Linked DNA regions of Oreochromis niloticus. The protein of the gene in region 1 interacts with the protein of each later gene in a pairwise test. Links are inferred from orthologs where the notes say so. Each region holds a gene or a part of one and is shown in the gene's direction. Other genes may lie near its edges. The genes, in order: fam168a, ubiquitin-conjugating enzyme E2 variant 1 and calcium-responsive transactivator.

Region 1 (7,067 bases):
AGGGCGAGACAGGACTCATCGTTGCAGAGGAGAGGGTCAGAATCACACAGAGACTAAGAGAGAATGTAAGAGTCAACACAGGAAAGGTGATGCGATCACAAATCTGCAAACTGCATAAAGTCTTTAAACCCCGTGCAGGTAAAGGTTTGGTTGTACCTTTAGTGCAGGTGCAGGAAGATGGTGCAGCCGGGTCAGAGACAACAATCCCGGCAACAGCTTCTGTCTTCCTGGGAGATCATGACGAATCCATCTAAGGAGAGACACCACCACTGCCTCCTCACTGGGCACGTTTAGAGCATCTGACCTGAGGCACAGCTCCAAGACATCAACCTGAAGAGATTTTTTTTAACGTGATGTATTTGTCAGCTTAAAAACATGAAACAAGAAAAATGTTTTGTTACTGATATAAGAGCAGATTTAATGACAATATATTGTGTATAAAATGTTGCAGAGGAACAGTTAGCTTAACTATTGGGCTTGTTAATCAGAATAAACTTGGTTTTCGGATACATCATAAAACAATAAGAGTTTGATATTTTTTTGAGTTTAATGGATTTCAGAGCTGTTATAAAAATGATGAGAAATCCCACCAAATATGCAAAAAATCCAACATCATTGGTGCTTTGAGCCTTAACTTTTTCTTAAGTCAGACATAATAAAGTGTGTAGCAACCGGATATAGAGAATAAATGATAACAGAGACTCTGATCAGCCTCTAGCCTTTCTCTGCATAGACACAATATTTAGGTGCAAGATTGGGTTTCACCTGCATATCCAGGAAGTCCTGCGTTTTGGAGAGTTCAAAGAAGTTCTGGACCACAAACTCGTTGGCACTTTGCAGGAGAGAGGCTGAGCCGTATCCCTCAGCCAGAGACAAGAGAGACAGACAATTATAAAGATCCATGGTTCCTATCAGGAAGTCGCTGCATGCTTTGGACAGGACAGACACCTGAGAGCACAACAGCAAGAGCAGGGAAATTTTCACGTTAAAATGACATTAAAGACCTCAGTGATGGGTCAAGAAACACTTATAAGTGTAGGGTTTCAGAAATTGGCATAAACGCAACAAATGCAACGCTGATCTCTACAGAATCCATAACTGAAATTAACCTGGCAACAAAAAGATAAGTGCGTAACTGATAGACTGTCAAAACTATAGATTTTCATTTTAAGTGTTCGGTCTTTAACTCTATACCCCTAATAGGAGTAAGATTTGAAGCTCTTTACGAACTGAGCAATTTCTGTTACATTTCAGGCGTGCTTAAAGAACAAAATGTTCAAACTATCTTAATCGTCATCAAACCACATCTTTATTGATATATACTGAGGTGTCAAAACTTGTCTTTTAAGGGTACAGGAGAGGTAGTCAAGTGTCATCTTTACGGGGGAAAGAGGTAAAAGGGCATTCTAGACATCCTTCTCCTGATCTTCTCAGTTTTCTCCTGTGGGATCCCAAGGTGCTGCCTAGCCAGGTGACAAATATAATCTCTCCAGCAGGTTCTGGGTCTACCTTGAGGTCTCTTCCCGGTGAGGCGCCTCTAATGCCCGATTAGGAGGCACCCTAACCACATGCTCAAACCATCTCAACTCCTTTTGAAATGCAGGAGCAGTGGCTCCACTCCAGATGTCTGAACTCGTTACCCTATCTGTAATGCTGAGCACAGCCACCGTGCTGAGGAAGCTCATTTTGGCCGCTTGTATTCATGATCGTACTCTTTCAGTAATTACTCAGCTCTCTCTTCACCACGACAGACTGGTACAATAACTTTTAATAATAACATTAATGATTTACTGCAGTATCCCATGAAGCCATGAAAAAATGAACGTGTTTAAGGGTAAATAGGAAGATGAAGCAGGTGCATTTCTACCTGAAGAAAAGAGGCGAGCTGAAACAACATGTCTACGTTGCCCTCAGTGATGAGTACCTCCCCAGAATAGGCAAAGTCCAGGAAAGAAGCCACTACTGCTGGACACTGATTACCCAGTGTTACTGAACCATCATCACGCTCTCGCATATCCACCTCAAACATGGCCCTAAACACAAGAGACATGAGAGAATTCATTAAAGAAAAAGAGATAGATAGATAGATAGATAGATAGATAGATAGATAGATAGATAGATAGATAGATAGATAGATAGATACCTGAAAAAATCACTACATGCTGCAAGAACACAGCGATGACAGGGAAAGCTGCGTTCCTGCACCTTAATAGTGAAATCAAACAGCAAGCCTCTCTCCCGGAGCGATCTGAGCATGCCCAGGAGCTGCAGTCCATGGGACTCAGACACCCGCAGCATTGTCCGACGCTCTGCGACCCCGTTGCATTGTGGAGCACTGCCAGGTCTACTGCTGGGTGGGCTGTTGCTGCTGCAGGGGTTGTGGGTGTTGGTCAAACACAAGGACAAGTCTTGATTTTCATCCATTATGCCAAAATCTGAAAAAAAGAATATAAAAATGATGCAATTTATAGTAATGGAGTGAGTCTCTGAGAGAGACACACACAGAGGGAATAAGAGATACAAGAATGCAACAAACTACTTTACATGAACAGATCTGTAACACACAGTCCAGGCTTCTCTACCATTCAGACATGCAGTAGTATCATTGTGTCTGGCACACTGAGTGTCTGACACGATTACTGCATTCAAGATAAGCACATTAGACACTACCTGAGATGATGTCTAGACGTTAAAAGTCAAAAATATATGAGCATAAAATGCGTGAAATATGCAGCTAGTGAGTCTGAGGCAGGACAAGTAATACTCACGACAGTGTCAGCACCACGGAGAGCTCTCATGCTATTCTAGTTTCCGGAAGCCTGAAATCACGCGAGGTTTCGCTCGACTTTTTGTTTTTCGCGTTTAATTGTCTTCTTTCTGTCATCTTGTTGGCTGAATTCGCGTTTTTTCCTAAGAAGAATAATGCCCGTGTCTCTTTTACATCCCCCTCATTTATTTTCATGTGTACTCTTTCTTTATAGCAGAAGAAGGCGCAATGGCCGCTGGGAACTGTAGTTCTCCTCTATTGGTCGGTTATTTCTGGCGCGTGTTCTCTGGCAAGTTGCAAGTTTAGAACAGTTAAGGTTCAGGAATTATACAGGTTAGCTTGCTTAGTTAACCATGCGTGCTTACTCTGTTGCAAATGAAAATATATCTCAAACATATCAAGTCACAGGGAACACTGGCAGAACTTTACTCCTGTCTGCTTCTCATTGACTCTGTTGATGCAGTAATATTTCTCACCACTGGGTGACACTGCCGTGCTGCAGAGAAATTATTATGGCGACGCATAGGACAACAGCCTTTGAATCTGAACTCGTGAACGTGAACTTAAAGCGGTCTATCCTACCTCACAAACCATCCTACCCGTTGTTTATGAGCATACGCTGCGCATGCGCGTAACACAAACCCCAAATTTACATCGTTTTTTTTAACCCATTGTGAATATTTCTTATGGTTATAGGTAGGGTTATGGTTAGGGATAGGGTTTGTATTAGTCACAAGTCGCCGTCAAATTATAACACGGGTAGGATGATTAGTCAAAGTAGGACGGTTTCTCAGAACAACGTCTCACCACCACAGTGACATAAAAACACACTCTTGAAAACGCCTGAAAAACATGATTACAGTATAAGAGCTTTTGTGGACACAATTAAATTCTTCTTATTCTGAAGATTATTATCATTATTACTATTATCATTATTATTATGCTATTACTACACAAAACCTGGGCTTAATCATGGATAAAATGCAGTCATTATACTCTATATGCTTTATCCTCCTTCATCGTCATGCAACAGACCATCCTATAAAAGTCAGAGACCGTCCCATTGTTGAGAAACTGGAGTAAAATCAGAGTAAACGGGCAGCACATACTAACGCCATTTACTGATTTCAGTTTTTACGAGACTGCTCTAAATCGGTGTACATATTATCGGGCTATTATCAGAGCCTCTCCAGTTTATATTATGGTGGGTCTGGCCCCCTCCTCTCTCTCTTGCATCCCTGCATCCCTCCCTCCCTTCCCTCCCGGCAGTGCATCCCCATCCCCCACACTGTGGCCGTCTCTCCGGGTGAAAGCTGTCTTCCCAGCGCCACTGGCCCGACAAAACGCTGCTGTAGCAGAGCCAGTCCGCACCGACCCGAGGCAGCACACTCACACGGGAGAGAGCACGTACACATTCGGGGAATCTTTCTGTTTTTTTCCCATTCCGTGGTCGACCGAGTAGCTTTGGTAAGTCTTTTATGCTGTTTATCACGAAGAGGAGGAATGTCCATGTGTTTTCTTAATGCTTGTTCGGGTTTTTTTTTCCTGTCTTTTTTTCCCTCCGTATCCCTTTAATTGTCCTCCGTGGTGGCTACGGTGGGGAACTAGCGGGCTAAGCTAAAGCGGCTAGCTTAAACAGCGGAGTTAAAGTGATACTACTTGGAGCATGTGTCAGGGTTTTTTGTTGTTTTGTTTTTTTACTTTATTTGTCGTCCGCCAGGCAGTAAGGTTAGCAGCTGTCCTAGTGTGTTGCGGGTCTGACCTGCTGCGAGTGGTTTTCATTGTCATCTGCTAATTTTGCCCCAGCTAACTTGCTAATTAGCGTTTTTTTAAAGGGGGGCAGCGTGTGCCGAGGGATGCAGGGATGCTACGGCGGGTTAGCGGCTGGCTTTTCAGGCTAGCACACAAGCTAAGCTAACGTTAGTATTATGTGACCCGTGCAGATTCCTGCACGGAGTGTTTCGGAATGGATGGATCGCCATGCTAACGGTGGCTAATCTAGTGATAATTGGCAAGATGGCATCTCGGAGTGGTTATCTAGAAATCGGTGGATTTTCAAAATGGTGTCTTAAGCTTGTTTGAGTGTGACCATTTTTGTCCAACCATCGCTGTTTTGGCTTTGCTTGCTATCTCTGGTATGCAGTGCACTGCCAGTGCATGCCACACTCTGACTGATATAACTACATATTAACCACTGAAGTGAGGGGTAAATACAAACGCCTCCAGGCTGCAGTCGCCACCGTGGAGAAAATGACTGTTTCTGGAGTTAAATTTGTCAAGAGTTTGGAGCTAAATCTAGGGGAAGGAGACGAATGAGAGAAGTAGGAAAGGTCAAAATGGGTAGAAAAGGTTTACTCCGCATATGCAAATATTTGCACACTGGATTAAAGTGGCTAACTATGTCAGTGCCCATCAACTCCTGCCTGGGCTCATAACAAAGGTGTACTTTATCTGAATGTCACTTACACTAGGCCTTAGCTGCTGTGCAGAGATATCCACTGCAACTTATGCACGTTGTCATTACTTATTCATCTCCATTTTATTTAAATCTAATTGCTTTTTGTTGTATACAGTATAGGAAACCAGTGAACATGCCAGTTCCAAGTGCACTACTCAGGGTAACATATGCAAGCTGGATTATTTATTCATGCCTAATGCAAAGAGCAGTGGCAGAAGTTAAAAAAAGGCCCTTTTTTAAAAACCTGATAAAACCTCCTTTGTTTGTAATGCATATACTACAAGATTTGTGCTTAAATAGTGCCAATCAGATAGAATTATTCCAAATGTTAGAGGTGATTATTTATTTATTTATTTATTTATTTATTTATTTATTCTCCTCCTTTTTGACTAGTCTTATCAGTGAAGTGAATCCTCTTTGCCATCATCTCTTTTTCCCTTTTTTGTAGGTGGGGGGGGGATTACTTGCTTTAGTCACTGACTACTAATCCCATTTAATTCAAGAAGCCTTATCTGTCTAAAGGGATTTGTGAGATGCTACTGTTGTTGGCTTCACCAGAGCATTACTGTGTAAGCAAACTATGTACATTTAAAATAATAGTCTACGATCGAGACTGGAAGACGCACACTGCTCCGTGGATGATAGACATTCAGTGACTCTAAGTCATTCTAATAGGTGATACTTTCGTCCTGTTTGTAATTATGACATCTAGAAATACTTCCCTTTGTGATAGGGGGGGCAGCATAAATCTTATTAATATACAAACAAGGAAGTCTTTGTTAAAGGCTGACTTTATTTTTGTGACTCTAAATAAATCAACAGGCATCCACTAGAACTGCATCCACCAGATGAAAGTATATTAACTTAAAGGTCAGTGGTTCTCTTTGGGAGCTCTAGTCAGAAAATACTACGTTTGGGTTTTTTTTCCCACAAGATGAGAAGTAGTGTTGTTGCTATATGCTAAAGTTGATTCATCTGTCTACCTCGCTGGAGGAAGACGGTGGATGTCGTGTGGCTTTTGGCATGTGTGGGGCGCAGGCTCATGTATATGAATGGCAGGCTGTACAATGCAGCCATAAAACCGTCAGACTGTTGAAAGCGGGAGTCACTTAATGTTACGACAGACAGCGTTTCTGTAACAGAGCTTTCCAACACTTCATTCCTGTGTGGTTTGAACCACTTAATGATTTGCTCATCACAGATCAGCGAATGAAGCACTGAAAGACGGCAGCTTCCAGAGTCACCTTCATTTCCTGTGCCTCGTCCAGCTCACGGTCCCTCAACTTGACCTCCAGTAATGCTACTGTTCTTTTAGAGGTTAGCAGATGTAAACATTTCAATGGTTGGACAGTCTTAAAAAGATGGTTGCTGTACATGAAGGTTCATTCAACTGCATTTCGGGGACTCTGAATATTTCTGTTGTATAGGAATCAATCAAGTGGGGTTATTTATTTCTTCAGTTGTTCATTTGGATAAAATTTACATTGGAAAATTATAATAAATGTGTCCCAGTGTTTTGCCAAACAGTCTAAAATCAAAAGATGTCTAACTGACAATAATATTAATCAAAGATGGCAACAAAACTGAGAAAAAGGGAGCTTTTGAGCTTTTCCCTGAAAAGTAACATTGGTTATTACAGCATTATCAGACAAATTGGCCACTATTTTATTCCTGATTAACTATCAGTCAAAGCAATTAAGCTGCACTTAAAATAGACTTGCAAACCAGTCGTAGGTCATACCTTCATGAAATCCACATGAAATAGTGATTAAGCATTGAAAATTATTTTTTGTTTTATTAAGTAATGCCTTAACTAGACCACAGAGAAGATTTGTGGAAGTA
Region 2 (7,720 bases), on another chromosome or scaffold:
TTTTTTTTTTTTTTTTATCCAGAGTAGTCACATTATCGTAGATGCTTTCTGGGATCTATGGTTACCATAAATCAGTACAGTTAACTTGGCCACTTGTTATTGAGGTAGAATTTGTGATCGAGCTGTATTTGGATTTTCCGCTTAGAGACAGTGAACTTTCAGTGGATTTGAACGGTGTTTTGCGACAGTATGTGGTCAATTAAGTATTTTTTTTTCACACCTGAAAAATTTAGTGAGAGCAAATGAAGATGTTAGTAAGTGAGATGGGCAGTTAGAATCTCTCCTCGGACTTTATTGAATCGCCTTATCCTCTTGCCAACAATGTGGGAAAAGAGTTTATTGACTGACTTTAAATTGCTCTTCATTTGACTCTTGCTTCTTCTGAGGTAAGGTCCATGTGGATGTTGTTGTTGTTGTTGGTTATGTACACCGGTGGTGGGGATGGAGTTCTAGATATCAGATTAATGCCTTGATGCCTTTTTGTTGTCTTCCAGTTGGAGGACTTACAGTGTAAATAATATACTGTATTTATAAATAAACTAATAAACATATTTCTGTGTTTCTCTTTCTTTCTGTTATCATCATTATTATTATCATTATTATTATTATTATTATTAAAAAGTGTATAATTTAATCTGTTTTAGGAATTTAGGTGACGATTTCACAGGGTACACAGAACACCACCTTCTCATACATAATTCTATTTTTTTTAACCTTGTGATGAAATTTTAAAAAGCTAATTTGCATATACAAGTTTTAATTTGAATTATATTAGCAAATCTTTTTGCAATTTATTCTTTAAAATGTATAGTGCAATTTATTTAGTTTTTTACATGGGGAAAAAAATCACACCGATGATATAGAAGTCTCTAAAACTCGCAAAAACTCACATATCAAACATGATACACTTTAGCATTAAAGGGTAAAATAACCTGCTTGATTGTGTTTATATTTGCCTAAGTAAAGACTTTTTCACCATAGCTTTTTGCAGAAAAGGTACAGTAATCGCCAGCATCTGATGGTCTTCTGCTGCTACTACAGGTACTTGTGTCAGTGGTTAAAACATCCACTATGAAAAGCGTATTAATAATTAATGACCCTGTCTGTACCCGGAGCCTGGCCCTCGACACATTTACTGCTAATCGATGTGCTTCTCACAGATGCAGCTGTCATGTTACATTCCAGGCTTCTGTTTATTCCAAATAAAACAAACACTTTAAATTTACTTATTCAGTTAATCCTGTTCAAGCAGAACAGACAAATTATTCCGCACTCAGTTCGACTACACCATATTGAGGAGAATCCACAATAACAAAAGCATTCAGCAGTCATTTCATTAGGGACACCTGTTCTGCTGCTTGTTAATGCAAATATTAACCAATCACATGGTACAAAGACAAATCTATTTAAGTGTGTAGACATGTGCTGAAGTTCAAACCAAGCACCAAAATGGAAAAGAAAGGTGATTTAAATGCTGATGCCTGATGGGCTGAGTATTTCAGAAACTGCTGATCTACTGGGATTTTCCTGCACAACCATCTCGAGAGGTCACGGAGAACCATCTGAAAAAGAGAGAATATCTTTGCAGAGCTGCAATTCTCTGTGTGAAAATGCCCTGTTATCTCAGAGGTTAGAGGAGAGTGGCCAGACTGCTTTGAGCTGGTAGGAAACTAAGTCAAACAACCGCTTTATACAACCAACGCACAACACGTCAAACTTTGAAGCAGAAACTACTCCAGGTGCCACTACTGTCAGTTAAGATCAGGAAACTGTGGCTACAGTTCACACAGACTCACCAAAACTGGAAAACAGAAGAATGGAAAAAGAATGTGCCTGATCTAGTGTCTTGATTTCCTGCTGTCACATTCAAATGGCAGGGTCAGAATTTGGTAGAAACAGCTTTCAAGCATGAAAGCATGGATCCATTCTGCCTTGTCTCAACACTTCAGACTTGTGATGTTTATGTAATGGTGTGACGAATATTTTCTTGGTACCCTTTGGACCCTTTAGAGCCAAATTGGCATCTTTAAAATACCACAGTCTGCCTCATTATTGTTGCTAACCATGTCCTTCCCTTCATGACCACATTGTATCCATCATCTCATGTTGGTTTTCCAGCAGTATAAAGCACAAAGCTCACAATATCTCAAACTGGTTTCTAGAAAATGACAATGAGTTCACTGTTCTCAAATGGCTTCCACAGACACCAGATCTCACAGAGAGTACCTTTGGGATGTGGTGGAACATCATGGATATTGTTTGATATCCCAATTCTTTGATCTTTGGGCTGAAGGAAGAACAACACTCGGTGTATAAATGCTCAACCAACAATCTCTCGCACTAAGCATTCACATTCTTTCTCTCTTACAGCGCCTAAGTGACGACCTTGGCTTCCTGTTTTATCTCCTGATGAGATGGGGCAGAAAACCTCTACAATATGTTCTGTTCTCTTTGTAATCAGAAAAGGAAAGCCATGATTCGACACAAACAGCATTTCTTATAACTCAGCAGTATAATGCATCATAAAACAGTGTAATGATTTCACAGTCTTTAATCCAAGGCATAATGTGGCCTATAGCCGTATAATGATTCAACAGTTCTTTGATTAGAAGTGTAAGGTGGCATAAAACAGTATAATAATCTCACAATATGCAGCCAACAAACCTACAGCAACTGTGTGATGCTGTCATGTCAGTTAGGCTGGGTTAATTGATGACAGGGTACACTCTGGACAGGTCGCCAGTGTATCGCAGAGCTAACACAGAGAGACAGACAACCATTCACACTCACACCTATGGACAATTTAGAATCATCAGTTAACCCAGCTGCATTCAGACTCCACACAGACAGGCTGCTGTGGAGTCAAACTCAGGACCTTCTTGCTGTGAGGTAACAGTGCTAACCACTGCGCTGCCCTATGAATACTTGTGATCAATAAATGATCAAAAGGGGGGGATGTGATGACACTGGACAGCTGCTGTACTCTGTACTGTTTTCTGAGAACTTTGCCAAGGCAAATTAAGATCTCACAGAGATAACTTGTTTTATTTCAGATTTTCGTAACAGCTGATACTGACATAACAGCGTCACACAGTTGCTGTAGGTTTGTTGGCTGCATATCCATGATGTTCCACCACATCCCAAAGGTACTCTCTGTGAGATCTGGTGTCTGTTGAAGCCATTTGAGAACAGTGAACTCACTGTCATGTTCAAGAAACCAGTTTGAGATATTGTGAGCTTTGTGCTTTATACTGCTGGAAAACCGACATCAGATGATAGGTACAATGTGGTCAAAAAGGGAAGGACATGGTTAGCAACAATAATGAGGCAGACTGTGGTATTTTAAAGATGCTCATTTGGCTCTAAAGGGTCCAAAGGGTACCAAGAAAATATTCGTCACACCATTACATAAACATCACAAGTCTGAAGTGTTGAGACAAGGCCGAATGGATCCATGCTTTCATGCTTGAAAGCCGTTTCTACCAAATTCTGACCCTGCCATTTGAATGTGACAGCAGGAAATCAAGACACTAGATCAGGCAAATTCTTTTTCCATTCTTCTGTTTTCTAGTTTTGGTGAGCCCGTGTGAATTGTAGCCACAGTTTCCTGTTCTTAGCTGACAGGAGTGGCACCTGGAGTATTTTCTGCTTCAAAGTTTGACGTGTTGTGGGTTGGTTGTATCAAGCGGTTGTTTGACTTAGTTTCCTATCAGCTCAAAGCAACCTGGCCATTCTCCTCTAACCTCTGACATCACAGGGCGTTTTCACACAGAGAAATACTGTTTCTGAGTCAAGAACATCTCTTCCTTTAATTTGCAAGCTTAGGTCAACCTTTTGACACTGGACTCCACAGCTTACTTGCTATGTAATAAGCCTGCAGTCAGTCAGTGAATGACCTAATCAAACTTGGCATGCTTTAATCTATCCTTGCTAATTAAGGGTTTCATTCTTTAATCTCTCACAGCAATCTTTTTCTTCTAATATATTGACGCTCCCCCATCTTTGTTATTTTAATTGTGTTTAATTGTGGCCTTAGCCTTCAGAAATACCTTAATTTTTCATTCCCCATGGAGCTGAGGGTGCTGTAAAATGGTTTCACATCAGTAGATGTAGATGCACATGCATGATACCTATACCTACCCTACCTACCTAAAAGTAGATGCACATGCTGATGAATGACCAGAGGCCCATCCTCCTCCTCAGTCTTGCTGGATTTCCACAATTTCTGCAGAAGCACAAAACTCGGACCTAAATTACATGTATACTGATTTATCATGCAATGTGAATAGAACTAGGAGAGAATTACATGCTACATTTGAAGAAAGATGATTGAAAGATATACCGTAAAGACAAAATTCTGGACAAATACTCGTGCCTTTAGAACTGGCTGATTTAAAAACCCCTGGAGCAAAAGGGCAGTTAATAATATCTCTCTTTAATGAAATGACTATTAAAATAAGCACAACATTTTTTGATGCTCTGACAGAATTAAATCATTTAATATAGTGACCTGCCTTGGAAAGTATGCCAGGTTAGATTATCTGTAAATTAATCTGCTACTCTGACGACAACAACAACAACAACAACAACAATAATAATAACAACAACAACAACAGCAATACTACTACTACTACTACTACTACTAATAATAATAACAGTTCCGTTTTATACAGCCACATAGCTAATCAGTTTGCTTAAAGCAACAAAGGAAGCGCCGTTGCTGTCTTCTTGCTCGCGCACGCACCGCTGGCTACAATGGTAAAAGTGCGTGCTCGCTCCCGCTGTGTAGCGACAAGATGGCGGTCGCCGCCGGATCAGGTAAAACGGTTGAGACGTATTAATCACTGCGAAAAGCTATTTTTGAACAGTGTTGTCAATGAATTTTTACCGCGTGCCTGTTAGGTTTTATGATTAGATTGATTCTGCATTCAGACGCTGTGCTATGTTGTGTTATTACATAGAAGCTAAAACAAAGCTGAGGAGAATGAATAGGAAGCGATGCTAGTAGCTAAGCTATCTTAAGTTAGATAAAAGGACAGCAGGTCTCACTTCAGTGCTGTTTTATGGGCGTGGAGCCGTTACTCGCCAGCCATCAGCAAATATGAGACATTGCAACTTGTTTATGTATTTGTGTATTCATTTATACATTTTAATTTTAATAGTTTAATTTAGGATGCTGCTTAAATTACAGCATCCTGTTGTCAAACCACAGCACCGCCACCCCACCGGATAATGACAGCCTGTTTGCGACATCAGATTATTTACAGGCGCGATGTGTTGCAAACCGGGTGTGTAGCGTTACTTAAATGTCATCAAGAAATGCGGGTGCATCCCGCAGTAAGACGGTCTTCCTGCCCGGCTGTTAAACGTAAACAGTGACTGTACGTTTTCCGAGAGCTCATGAGGGAAACATGACCTGCGCTGAGCTTCACTGAGCTTCTCTGGAGACGCCGGTGAGCTGAGCTGAATTGCTGCAGCAGCTGGCAGTGTGACTGGGTTTGTTTGGATGGCTCTCTTAAGGGTGCAGCCTCGTCGTATCTTACTGCGGAGGCCAAGTGATGCGGCACCGCCGGAGCCAGATGCTCAAGTCTCACAGGACGTGAAAATAACACCTGCTCTTATCAAAAGGCTCACGCAGGCTGCAAAGCTGAGGCGTCCCTTATTTTTTTTCGGTCTTATTGAGTCATAACTTCATAACTGCAAGTCATTTTGTCTGGCACACTGCTGGCAGTTTTATTTAGCTTCATAAATCTACCTGTGGCTCTGGAAGTTTGCATGACTGAATGGCTGTGTGTTTGCCCACAAACAGGCGTTAAAGTTCCTCGCAATTTCCGGCTCCTGGAAGAGCTGGAGGAAGGTCAGAAAGGTGTGGGAGATGGAACGGTGAGCTGGGGCTTGGAGGATGATGAGGACATGACCTTAACACGATGGAGAGGGGTGATCCTTGGCCCCCCAAGGGTTAGTGGTGCCATTTTTAACACCTGGATGAGTACTTTGCAGGAGCAGGGGAGTGTTGACCAAGCCAAAAGATTAACAGTTACTTAAACCAAAGGTGTCAGGTTTGATTTGTGCATCGCATGATGTCGGGGAGCAAGTCAGGTCGTCCACTTGAAGAAGAGGAAAACATCGAGGCACTAACACTACTTTGCAATCCTTCGAATGATTGTTTTTGAATTAAAACAGAATAAATGTGAAGCAGAAGCACAATTAAACTCCTGACTAAAGACCAATTATCGCACAAGTTTGCAGCATAATGTTGTTTTTAATTGTTGACAGATGTCCCAGTATCTTTTTAGTTAGTTTGTAATTATAGGTATTTATAAATACTTTAAAAATTGCTCAGTGCTAAGCTGTAAAGTTGAAATGACCTATATGAGACTGTTATTTAAAAATGTTGTTTTTAAATTAATGACTGCAGTCCTTTGAGGACCTCTTTCACAGGACCATGGACATTACCGTATGTCAGACTGCAGCTGGGTCAGCCAGTTTGTCTTCCTCTACAGTGTATTCATTTACTGTGCGACTGGGTAAAACTGCAGCAGTGCTGTCACAGTTACAGCCTGTATGCAGGGAGCATAAAAAAATTTTGGCATACCACCAAATGTTTTGGCCAGAGCCAAAAATTGTAATAAAATTAGCAGTTATGTTAATTCTAGCAGACATTTTTGTTGATTAGATTAAAGCAAAAGGCACAGATTTGTGTAAAAACAAGGTACCGCAGACTCTTTAAACTCTCCCCAGGGCCTTTGTGAGTCAGGAGAAAAAAACCCTACAAGGGTATTTCCTGCCTTAGTTTTCACATGATGTTGTTGCACATAGTGAACATTGTGTACCAATTTTTTTTTTTTTTTGTTCTTCAAAGTTTGGTGTGCTGTCTTCTCACCTCTCCCTACCTTTCTTTGTTTAACAGACAAGCTATGAAAACAGGATGTACAATCTGAAGGTTGAATGCGGGCCAGGATACCCAGAATCACCACCTTTTGTCAGATTTGTGACAAAGATAAACTTGAATGGCGTGCACACCTCCAACGGTGTGGTATGTGAATTATTTATCATTATTTTTAAAATGATTGGCTCATTTTGGATGCACTCTGTGGAAGGAGCATCATATCTGCTCTGTGGAGTCAGATAAACAACTGATCAACTAGCTTAAACTGGCCTATCACTGATATGTCAGGATATATGATGTTTCTTATCATCTTATTGTTTAATACTCTCACTTACTGTTAGAATATTGGCTGAAATATCAATATAAGATTTTATTTACTCCTTAAAAGTCCCAAATGGTCGAGCTCTGCAGTTCTGTCTGGTTATGAGTTCATATCATCATGTTTAGAAGACGGCCATTGTATCCATGGAACAAGAGAATAATAGATGATTTACATTATGTACATCTAGATCTTTATTCAGATGTTTTAGGTTTTTCCAAGAGTTTTTTTTTTTTTTTTAAGATCTCAAAAAATTGGTAATGTGGGATCTTTCTTCCTAACTTACATGAGCACCATGCAAGTTAGGAAAAAAGATGAGGGCCAGTTCAGCCTTCATTCTTATTTAAAAACCCACTTTAAGACTTTTTTTTTTCACTTTTAATGCTGTATAATCTCCGAAAGAGGTGATTATTGTCTAATATGGTCATCTCAGGCACACTGCTCTACCTGTAAACACCCACTTGCTACTCAAACCTTTTATTTTACGTGGCAAAACGCTGGGGGGAAAGGAT
Region 3 (7,817 bases), on another chromosome or scaffold:
GGACGAGATAACAGACGAAGTCACAACATTTTGCGCGTTCAAAGTAGCTCGGATAATAGTACTAGGTGTTCCAGGCAGACCTGCTGCGCTCGGTTTGCTCACAGAAACAGGTCCGTTGTTGAGGAGTGTGACAGCACCGGGCTGCGAGTTGTTGCTGTCAGCGGGTCCGCCTGCGGTTATTTGACAGTTCATCACCACGGCACTTCCATTCAGAGTTTGCGCACCGGTCCCTCCAGGTTTGCCAGCGCCAGCTGTTGCATCTAGTGTAACCGTAACCACTCCGCTGGCTGCGTCCGACTTGGACTGACTCTGAGTGGCTGTCACACTCGGTCCTGCGGTCGATGTGATCCCTGCTGCCCCATCCATGCTTGAACCCAGGGACCCCGTACTGTTACTGACACCTCCTTGCGCTCCTGTCCCTGCAGCAGCGGAAACACATGAAAACAAGGGGAGTGTCGAGCAACTCTCCGATTCGCTTTAGTTTCGGGACACAGACAAGTGAAGCCAAATAAGCTATAACAAGCTGAGTAACGTGACCAAAATTAGCTAACGTTAGCTAACCGGAGTGCGCAGCTATCTTACCTGCCTTAGCAAGCTCTTGTTGTGAAAGTCCCATTTTGCTACCCTGAACATTTAAACTACTACCTACAGCTGAGTTTCCGCCGTGATTTTCTGCAGACGGGGCCCTAGCGGTTGTGTTATCGCACCTTGTTTCTGTTAGTTCAGACTCCAGGGATCCAACTAGGTCACTAACTACTTTTTCGTCCACCTCTGTACTCAAGAAAACATCACCCAGCAAATCGGAGCCCGCCGCCATCTTTTCCCAGCTACGCTCGTTCGTGAGACGCATGCGCCGATTGGATGCATCCTCCGTGACGCGACCTTACCTCGCCTCATGATTGGCTGTTCGACAAAAATAAAGCCTGGAACAAATGGTTGCGAGCTGCAGTGTACAGTGCCACCGCAGTCGGACTATTTCGCTGGAAATAAGCGACACCGCTCACGGAGCTGTGCCTTGTGGAGCATTAGCACACCGGGGAAACTGTCAGATAGTTCTCATGCGCTATCACATGATTTCACAGATGTTTACATTACACTATCATACTTTCTGAACAATCCAAAATGGCTGCGTTGATGCTATTTTTCCAGGACACCCGCAGTAACCGCCTAGTGCTCACAGACAGTAGTGATGTGAAACTACCTGGATAGTAAACTTTTGAGAGTGCAGATCAGCACTTAGGCAGCCAGTTTGCACGGTTGTTTGTGCATCACAGGACTCAGCCTTTTAACGCCATGACTGTGATTTTTGTTGCAACTTATAAAGATTATCTAAAAATGTTTTTATGAAAAAAATATGTACCATAAGCACAATCATAATTATTGATCGAATTCATAACAAATCAAAGATTACGCAAAATATCAAAAGAATGGGTCTCAAGTGAGTTAAATCAAGCCGTGGTGATTGGCATTCATCTTATTGCCATCAATGATTGCCAGGTGCTTCAATCAAGTCAGCTGTATACGCCTATAAATTGTTTCCGGTTTCTCTAGGACTCGAAATGTGCCGTGTGATGAGTCTGTATAGAAGTTTATAGCAACGGCCCCGGATATTCTCGAGCCATGGCTTCGAAGCCATACATTGGCTGTAAAGTATCACTCCTCTCAAAAGCCCAAAATCGTTATGAAGGGATTTTGTATACAATTGATGCAGCGAACAGCACAGTAGTTTTGGCAGAAGGTGAGTTATTTAGCGCTCAGTGTTCTTGAAAATCTGTCAGCATTTCAAAAACGAACAAAAACTTGCTTTTTAAATTTCTTCTCCTTTTCTAGTTATTGTCATTTAATCTTAGAAAGAAACTGGACAAGTGAAATATGGGTGGAACTTTCCTGACTTTATCCAACGTTTTTCTTTTCACAAGTCAAGTGTTTTGGAACTGAGGGAAGGCCAACAGATAGGCCAACGTCACCCAAAGATGATGTCTATGAGTACATTACTTTCCGGGGAAGTGATATTAAGGATATTACACTGGGTGAACCTCCAAGGTATCACCATGGCCTGCCTCAAGATCCTGCGATAATACAGGTGTACAAAAACTGCCTGGTTCCACCCTCCTTCTAAAAACAGACTAAGTATGTATATGTGTGTTTAAACATTAACATCTTTGGTTCATCCAGACCTCCAGTTCAGGCTCTTCAAGCATCCAATCTACTGTTGGATCACTCAGCCCCTTAAGGATGCCTGCCTACAACCAGCTTGCTGCTAGCTCTCTGCTTAATCAGCAGTATGTTGCAGCTCTTGGCCTTGGTAAATCAATGACAACAAGTTTCTAACAAGTCAACTGACTAAAAAAAACCCCAAATTTTAATTGGGTTCTTTCTATACTACACACTTTGTATCCTTCACCCAGGGCCTTTACTTCAAGGCTTACATGCTCAAAGAGGTCCCATGGTGGAAAAGGCTGTTCAAACCGTCAGTGTAAGGACATTTAGGCAGAGGAGAGGTGCAAGTGCATCCCAGCAGCAGGAGCAGCAACAAGAAGAACAAGGGCAGCAGCAGCAACAGCAGCAGAGGAATAGGAGGCAGCCTAAGTGGACGAGAGGAACAAATATTCAAACCACAAGGGTCACTGGAGCCACCAGTAAGTACACAATGCTGCAGTGATGAGAAGGAAATGCTGTTAAACTATTGTGATGTTTCCCTAAGTGAAACAGGTTGATTAACTGTGGAGGAGTATGTATGTTTTGGGGGAAATAATGAGGTATTTGTCTGGGCATCTACATACACTTAAAACTAAGTGTAGCTGTTGTGGGTGTCTTTGCAGTGCAATCAGACCCAAGTGGATCCACTTCTCAGGACAGTCAGCAGCAAAATGCTGAAACCAGGCCACCTGCTAGAAAAAGACAAGGTATTAAACACAAGTTTCCAGTAGACTTGAAAATCAGAAAGGACATCCTTGTATACAAAACAAACTTGAGGTGCACTTAATAAAAAATAAATAATAATCTTAGGGCCTCGACGGCGCAGGAACCGCAGAAGAGGCCAGCTGATGGTGGCTAATGCTCCATCTCCCACCCTTAAATTTGACACAGACTTTGATTTTGATTCCTCAAACGCACAATTCATTAAGGAGGAGCTTGAGGAGAAGGTCCAGGAGAGGCTGACTCTAAGAGGTTGGTTATCAGCTGAAGTTGCCACTAATGCACTTTTTTTTTTGAAATCACCCGCTTTGTCAGTTAATTCTCTTTGAAGGAATGCTGTCACTTTAAAGGTATGCATTATTAATGTTGTTGGTAGAAAAACTTGAGTCCCTATGGATTTCATGTAGTAGATTATGTGAGAGACAGAGCAGTTATGATGGCATTTTCATGGAAGTTGCGCTCTCATGTAACCCTGTTTGAATTACTTTAATTTTTGTCACCACAGCTTTAAGTTTGAATAGAAGTAAATTTGCATTCAGGTAAAATAAGGCTTCTAACGTCATGTTTCTCTCTGGCATATAAATAAATAAATAAATAAATATTTTCAATCTCTGGGAATTGGCTTCTTAAGATGGACTGAGTCTGTCCTTCCACTGTCAGTACTTTTTTCTGTTTTCAGATGGGAATTCTGAAGGAACGGAAACAGAAGGGTTGCAGCTGACTTCAGGGGAGGATTGTTTAGCACCAAAGTGCTACTATGACAAAGCAAAGTCTTTCTTTGACAACATCTCATCTGATAATGGGCTCAGGTAATCAGCTGACTCCATCTTATATAAAAGATGGTCTTTGTGCAGATATGTGCTCATGGCTATTTATTTACATCAATGGTTTCAGACTGACATGGGCAGAGGAGCGAAAGCGCAATCTGGAGACTTTTGGTGTCCCTGGGCGTTTCCTGAGGGGCCAAGGATTCAGAGGTGGATATGCCAGAAGAGGACGAGGTGCTGCCAGAGTCTAACTCAAAGAAACACAACTGGGCGGCTGTACAGATCAGTTTCATACAAAGGCAGAGTAAAGCCACCTTGAATGATTTAGTACCCTGTTTCTTACAGTGAGTGGAAAGTACTGGATCCCCTGTAAGAATCTTGCCCCCTTTTTTCTTGACAGACCTTTTGAGTTTTAGCACAGTGAAGAAATCACAAGGGCAATAATGAAGGCTGTATTGCATTTGGAAGAGGCGCTATGCTGTGCATGTTGGTTTGCAGTCTGTTTACTGGTATACGTGATGGAACTAAACCATCATTATTACAGCTGTGCTGTAACCAGCCAAAATGTCTGTCATTAAAAAGTTTAACATTATTTCTTTGACATTTGACCTTGTTTTTAATGTGGGTAAAAGTTACTACAAGAGGCTTTTTTTGTTTAAAAGGGGGGAAAAACATGAATGCTTCAGTTTCTACTTTGGTTTGCTACTTGCAGATTTGTAAATTCTTGCATTTGCCTTTTTGGAGTATTAATCAGATTTGTCCATTCAATGTTGCATAGTATTAATATAATGAACTAAACAAGGTTTCAGACTTAAGACTTAATTTGGTATATTCAAGGGAATGAGTTGAATGTAAATAAAATGGATGTGCTGATACACCTGTTATGAGACTAAAAGACATTTTGTTGCACAAGTAAGCATTTAAAAAATTCTTCCGAATTATAAATAATCTGGGATAGTATCTGTGTTCTATGGCTGTTTCTTTGTCCTTTTAAGGAGCACTCCTTTAAACAACGTTAGCAATATATTCAAGATTAGATTATATAAACTGGCAAAAAAAAAAAAAAATTAGTAAATGTCTCACTGAATTACAAGATTACACATTCCCTGATTCAGTGCTGTTGTAAAAATGTGAATGGTGGGATTTCCACATTTCCTGAAATGCTAAAAGCAACTTTGGCTACAGCTGATCCAAGCAGACTGCTTTCTTGAATCAAACGATACCCCGTCTACAGTGAGGGAAAGTGGTAGGCTACTCACTGCCTGGACTATACCAAAATCTGAGGGAGAGGGATTTTTCCCTTACCATCGTATCCTTTTATATGCATGTAATTATTTGCACGCAGATCATAAATATTCGCTTAAGGGAAATCCTCTGTTTAATGCCATCCAGATAAGTCAAGTGTTTTCTAATTTTGCATCTTTCACGACATGGCTCTGGTTTGGTCAGTACCCCTATTCCTGGTAATGGAGAAACTATGTAACCAAATAGAAGGCTGCGCTCGAGATAATAAATATTAGAATAAAAGCGGCTCTTTTATTTCCCATATGACAAAATGTCGGTGGCGTTTTCATCGGCGCGCCCCAGAAGTAAAGGGGAGGTGACACAGCAAACCATTCAAAAGGTAAAAAATCCTAAAACGTCGCGACATTTCTATTTAGATCTTCTAGCATGGGAGTATGTGATCCCCCTCCAGTGCAGAGAAAGTAGCCAGTGGTGAATATCAAAGAAATGGCAACTGGTATTGCAACGTTACAGTCAATTGAAGGTGCGAACCAAACAAAGCCATCGCGGTGATGTAGACGAGCGCTCGGCTTAACGCCGGCTGGATCTCTGCTTTCTTGGTGATGCTGTCTGTCATCCTCGCAGATATTATGAGACGAATGGGAATATTTTAGTGTGAGAAATTGGAAATCCGCTTTATATTTCGTCGCAAGATGGTTAACAAGAATTCTCAAAGCAACAGCTCTGCCCTGGTGTTTAATTAATTAGGCTATAGGTTAAAAGTGAAGGCAGGTGTTACAGTATATGTCCTAGGGCACCGCTTTTATCCTTGATTGAACCGTTTAGCGCGAAAGTAAAACGTAAACCCTATCCTTGAAAGCCAGACTTTCAAACGGCGTCCTAAATAAAGACAGTGAAAAATGAGTTCTTCTTTTGGCTCTGTTATATAAAAAGAAGATGAGAAAGGTGACCCAGAAAAAAAACATTCAAGGGCTGGATAAAGTTCTGAGAATCAAGCACATCACTGTTTTAATAAAGTATTTGTTAGTTAATAATTTACTATACACTTATAGGACTTCAGATACAGTGGAATGAAGTTGTTTTATTATTTTCCAAAGATGCTGGATGAAAATCATCATTTAATACAATGCATAATGGATTACCAAAGCAAAGGCAAGACAGCTGAATGCACACAGTAAGTGTTTTTTTCTTTCCTCCCTGACCGGTACCTGCTAAATATCAAAGTATAGCACAATTAAGACTGGTTTTCTTCTTCTTCTTCCTCCAGGTATCAGCAGATCCTGCACAGAAATCTTGTTTACTTGGCCACAATAGCTGATTCAAATCAGAACATGCAGTCATTACTACCTGCGGTAAGTCTGATTTGTGACTTCAGTAATAGCAACTATCAAATATAAGTATACACTGTGTCCACTGGGAAAATAGAACATTAAAGGAAAACAGAAAATAGATGCATATAAATACAGTGTGAAAAAAATGAACTGCATATCAGTATTTATTTATGACTGCCACTACTTAAATATTACGTCTGTACACCTTTAGCCTCCCACTTCCAGTATGTCTTTGGGTCCTGGAGGGATGGGCCAGAGTGGGGGACATGCTCAAAGCAACCTCAATGACAACATGGGACCAGCACTGCCCGCGACATCAATGATGCAGAGCCAAATGAGTAATGGTGAGAGTTAATTGCATACCTGTGTTTTACAGATAAGCCCTGAATCACTTATTTCAGCCCAAAGATGCCTCCCGATTTTGTTGTCTGTCCAGTGTCTTGCTTGCTCGTCTCATTCTGACTTAGCTGCATGTTTGTCTGCAGACACAGTACCATGTCTTGTCTGCCACAGTGCCCGCACTTCTTTATTGCTTCATTGCCTTCATGTATCTGTGGTTTTAAGTTCAGCCAATGAGTCAGATTGTTTCACAGTTATGTTACTATATTCCCTCTTTTTGTGAAAAAACTATACACACATCCTTAACATGCGTTACTCTAGCTTTGTTCAACCATGCACGTCTCCTGTGAAGATGAACTGAATGTGGGGCCGTGGTTAACATGATATGGCACCACAGGGGAATGTGTGGTGGCTGCTCTGACTGTGCGTGTGTGTTGTCAGGCCCCAGCCATGCCCCCATGCAGCAGCAGTCTGGTCAGGTGCAGTCGGCTATTCCCTCCACCTCCCTCAGCCTGCCAGCAAGCAGCTATGGCAGCTCGGTCCCTGGGTACAGCCACGCTGCACCCTCCTCCCAGGGCAGTATGATCCAGGGCCCTGGGCCTGGTTATGGCTCTTCCTCCTCTTCTTCCTCCACATCCTCATCCTCTTCTTCCTCCTCCCGCAGCAACCTCAACATGCATTCCAACCAAGGTGAGCCAGGTATCGTAAAACCCAGTCATCAAGAATTGGTCTCTAAACCATCATGATCTGATAGTCAGGAGTTACCACCTCTCGAGATGCAAGATGGCATACTTGTTTTTTACTTGTTTATGTGTATTATGCAAGATTTGGCATTTAGAGGATTGGAATGATGATAATAATCTTTTCAAGTTTTCAGGGTGAAATACTGTACATGGTACATCAGTAAAACAGTTGGATGATGACCTCTGAAGCTGTGCCCCTTTCGAGCTTGCATAAAAAATATGCCTGCATGCATATCTTAAACTTTCCTCCTGTGTAACAGACAAATACGAAACACATTCAGTTCATCACTGAGGTGTCCTGCCTCCTTCCTTCTTCCCTTTGCTTCAGGTTTCTCCTAATTTCTGAGATGCACCCCTACTTTCCTTGGATGTCCATGTGTATTTATCGTACTTCTGTTAATGCGCTGACTTTGCTGGCTTTGTTTACACTTAAAGCAGCATCTTGAAAGCATTTCTTTAAAGATATTTTTTTA

Evidence for each region.
Region 2: the proteins of fam168a (region 1) and ubiquitin-conjugating enzyme E2 variant 1 interact in binary tests that used the Homo sapiens proteins (3 or more experiments, as listed by UniProt). The two-hybrid records come from large-scale screens. The link is inferred for Oreochromis niloticus from reciprocal best matches to the Homo sapiens genes FAM168A and UBE2V1.
Region 3: the proteins of fam168a (region 1) and calcium-responsive transactivator interact in binary tests that used the Homo sapiens proteins (3 or more experiments, as listed by UniProt). The two-hybrid records come from large-scale screens. The link is inferred for Oreochromis niloticus from reciprocal best matches to the Homo sapiens genes FAM168A and SS18L1.

Annotation. Positions count from the first base shown.
Region 1 is NC_031979.2:18,114,551-18,121,617, forward strand, and holds the start of fam168a (protein FAM168A), read left to right. Parts: upstream 1-3,994; 5' UTR 3,995-4,234; intron 4,235-7,067. Other genes in the region: kbtbd3 (kelch repeat and BTB domain-containing protein 3), read right to left, coding at 1-53, 157-330, 766-948, 1,868-2,033, 2,144-2,424.
Region 2 is NC_031984.2:9,991,328-9,999,047, reverse strand, and holds the start of ubiquitin-conjugating enzyme E2 variant 1, read left to right. Parts: upstream 1-4,689; 5' UTR 4,690-4,796; coding exon 4,797-4,818; intron 4,819-5,809; coding exon 5,810-5,958; intron 5,959-6,910; coding exon 6,911-7,036; intron 7,037-7,720. UniProt on the Homo sapiens protein: Has no ubiquitin ligase activity on its own. The UBE2V1-UBE2N heterodimer catalyzes the synthesis of non-canonical poly-ubiquitin chains that are linked through Lys-63.
Region 3 is NC_031984.2:13,588,890-13,596,706, forward strand, and holds the start of calcium-responsive transactivator, read left to right. Parts: upstream 1-4,746; 5' UTR 4,747-5,241; coding exon 5,242-5,310; intron 5,311-5,345; exon of another isoform or gene 5,346-5,454; intron 5,455-6,028; coding exon 6,029-6,105; intron 6,106-6,198; coding exon 6,199-6,283; intron 6,284-6,473; coding exon 6,474-6,606; intron 6,607-7,042; coding exon 7,043-7,291; intron 7,292-7,817. Other genes in the region: transcription initiation factor TFIID subunit 4, read right to left, coding at 1-419, 583-850; lsm14b (protein LSM14 homolog B), read left to right, coding at 1,621-1,738, 1,920-2,083, 2,176-2,305, 2,409-2,639, 2,823-2,906, 3,010-3,171, 3,599-3,728, 3,814-3,937. UniProt on the Homo sapiens protein: Transcriptional activator which is required for calcium-dependent dendritic growth and branching in cortical neurons. Recruits CREB-binding protein (CREBBP) to nuclear bodies.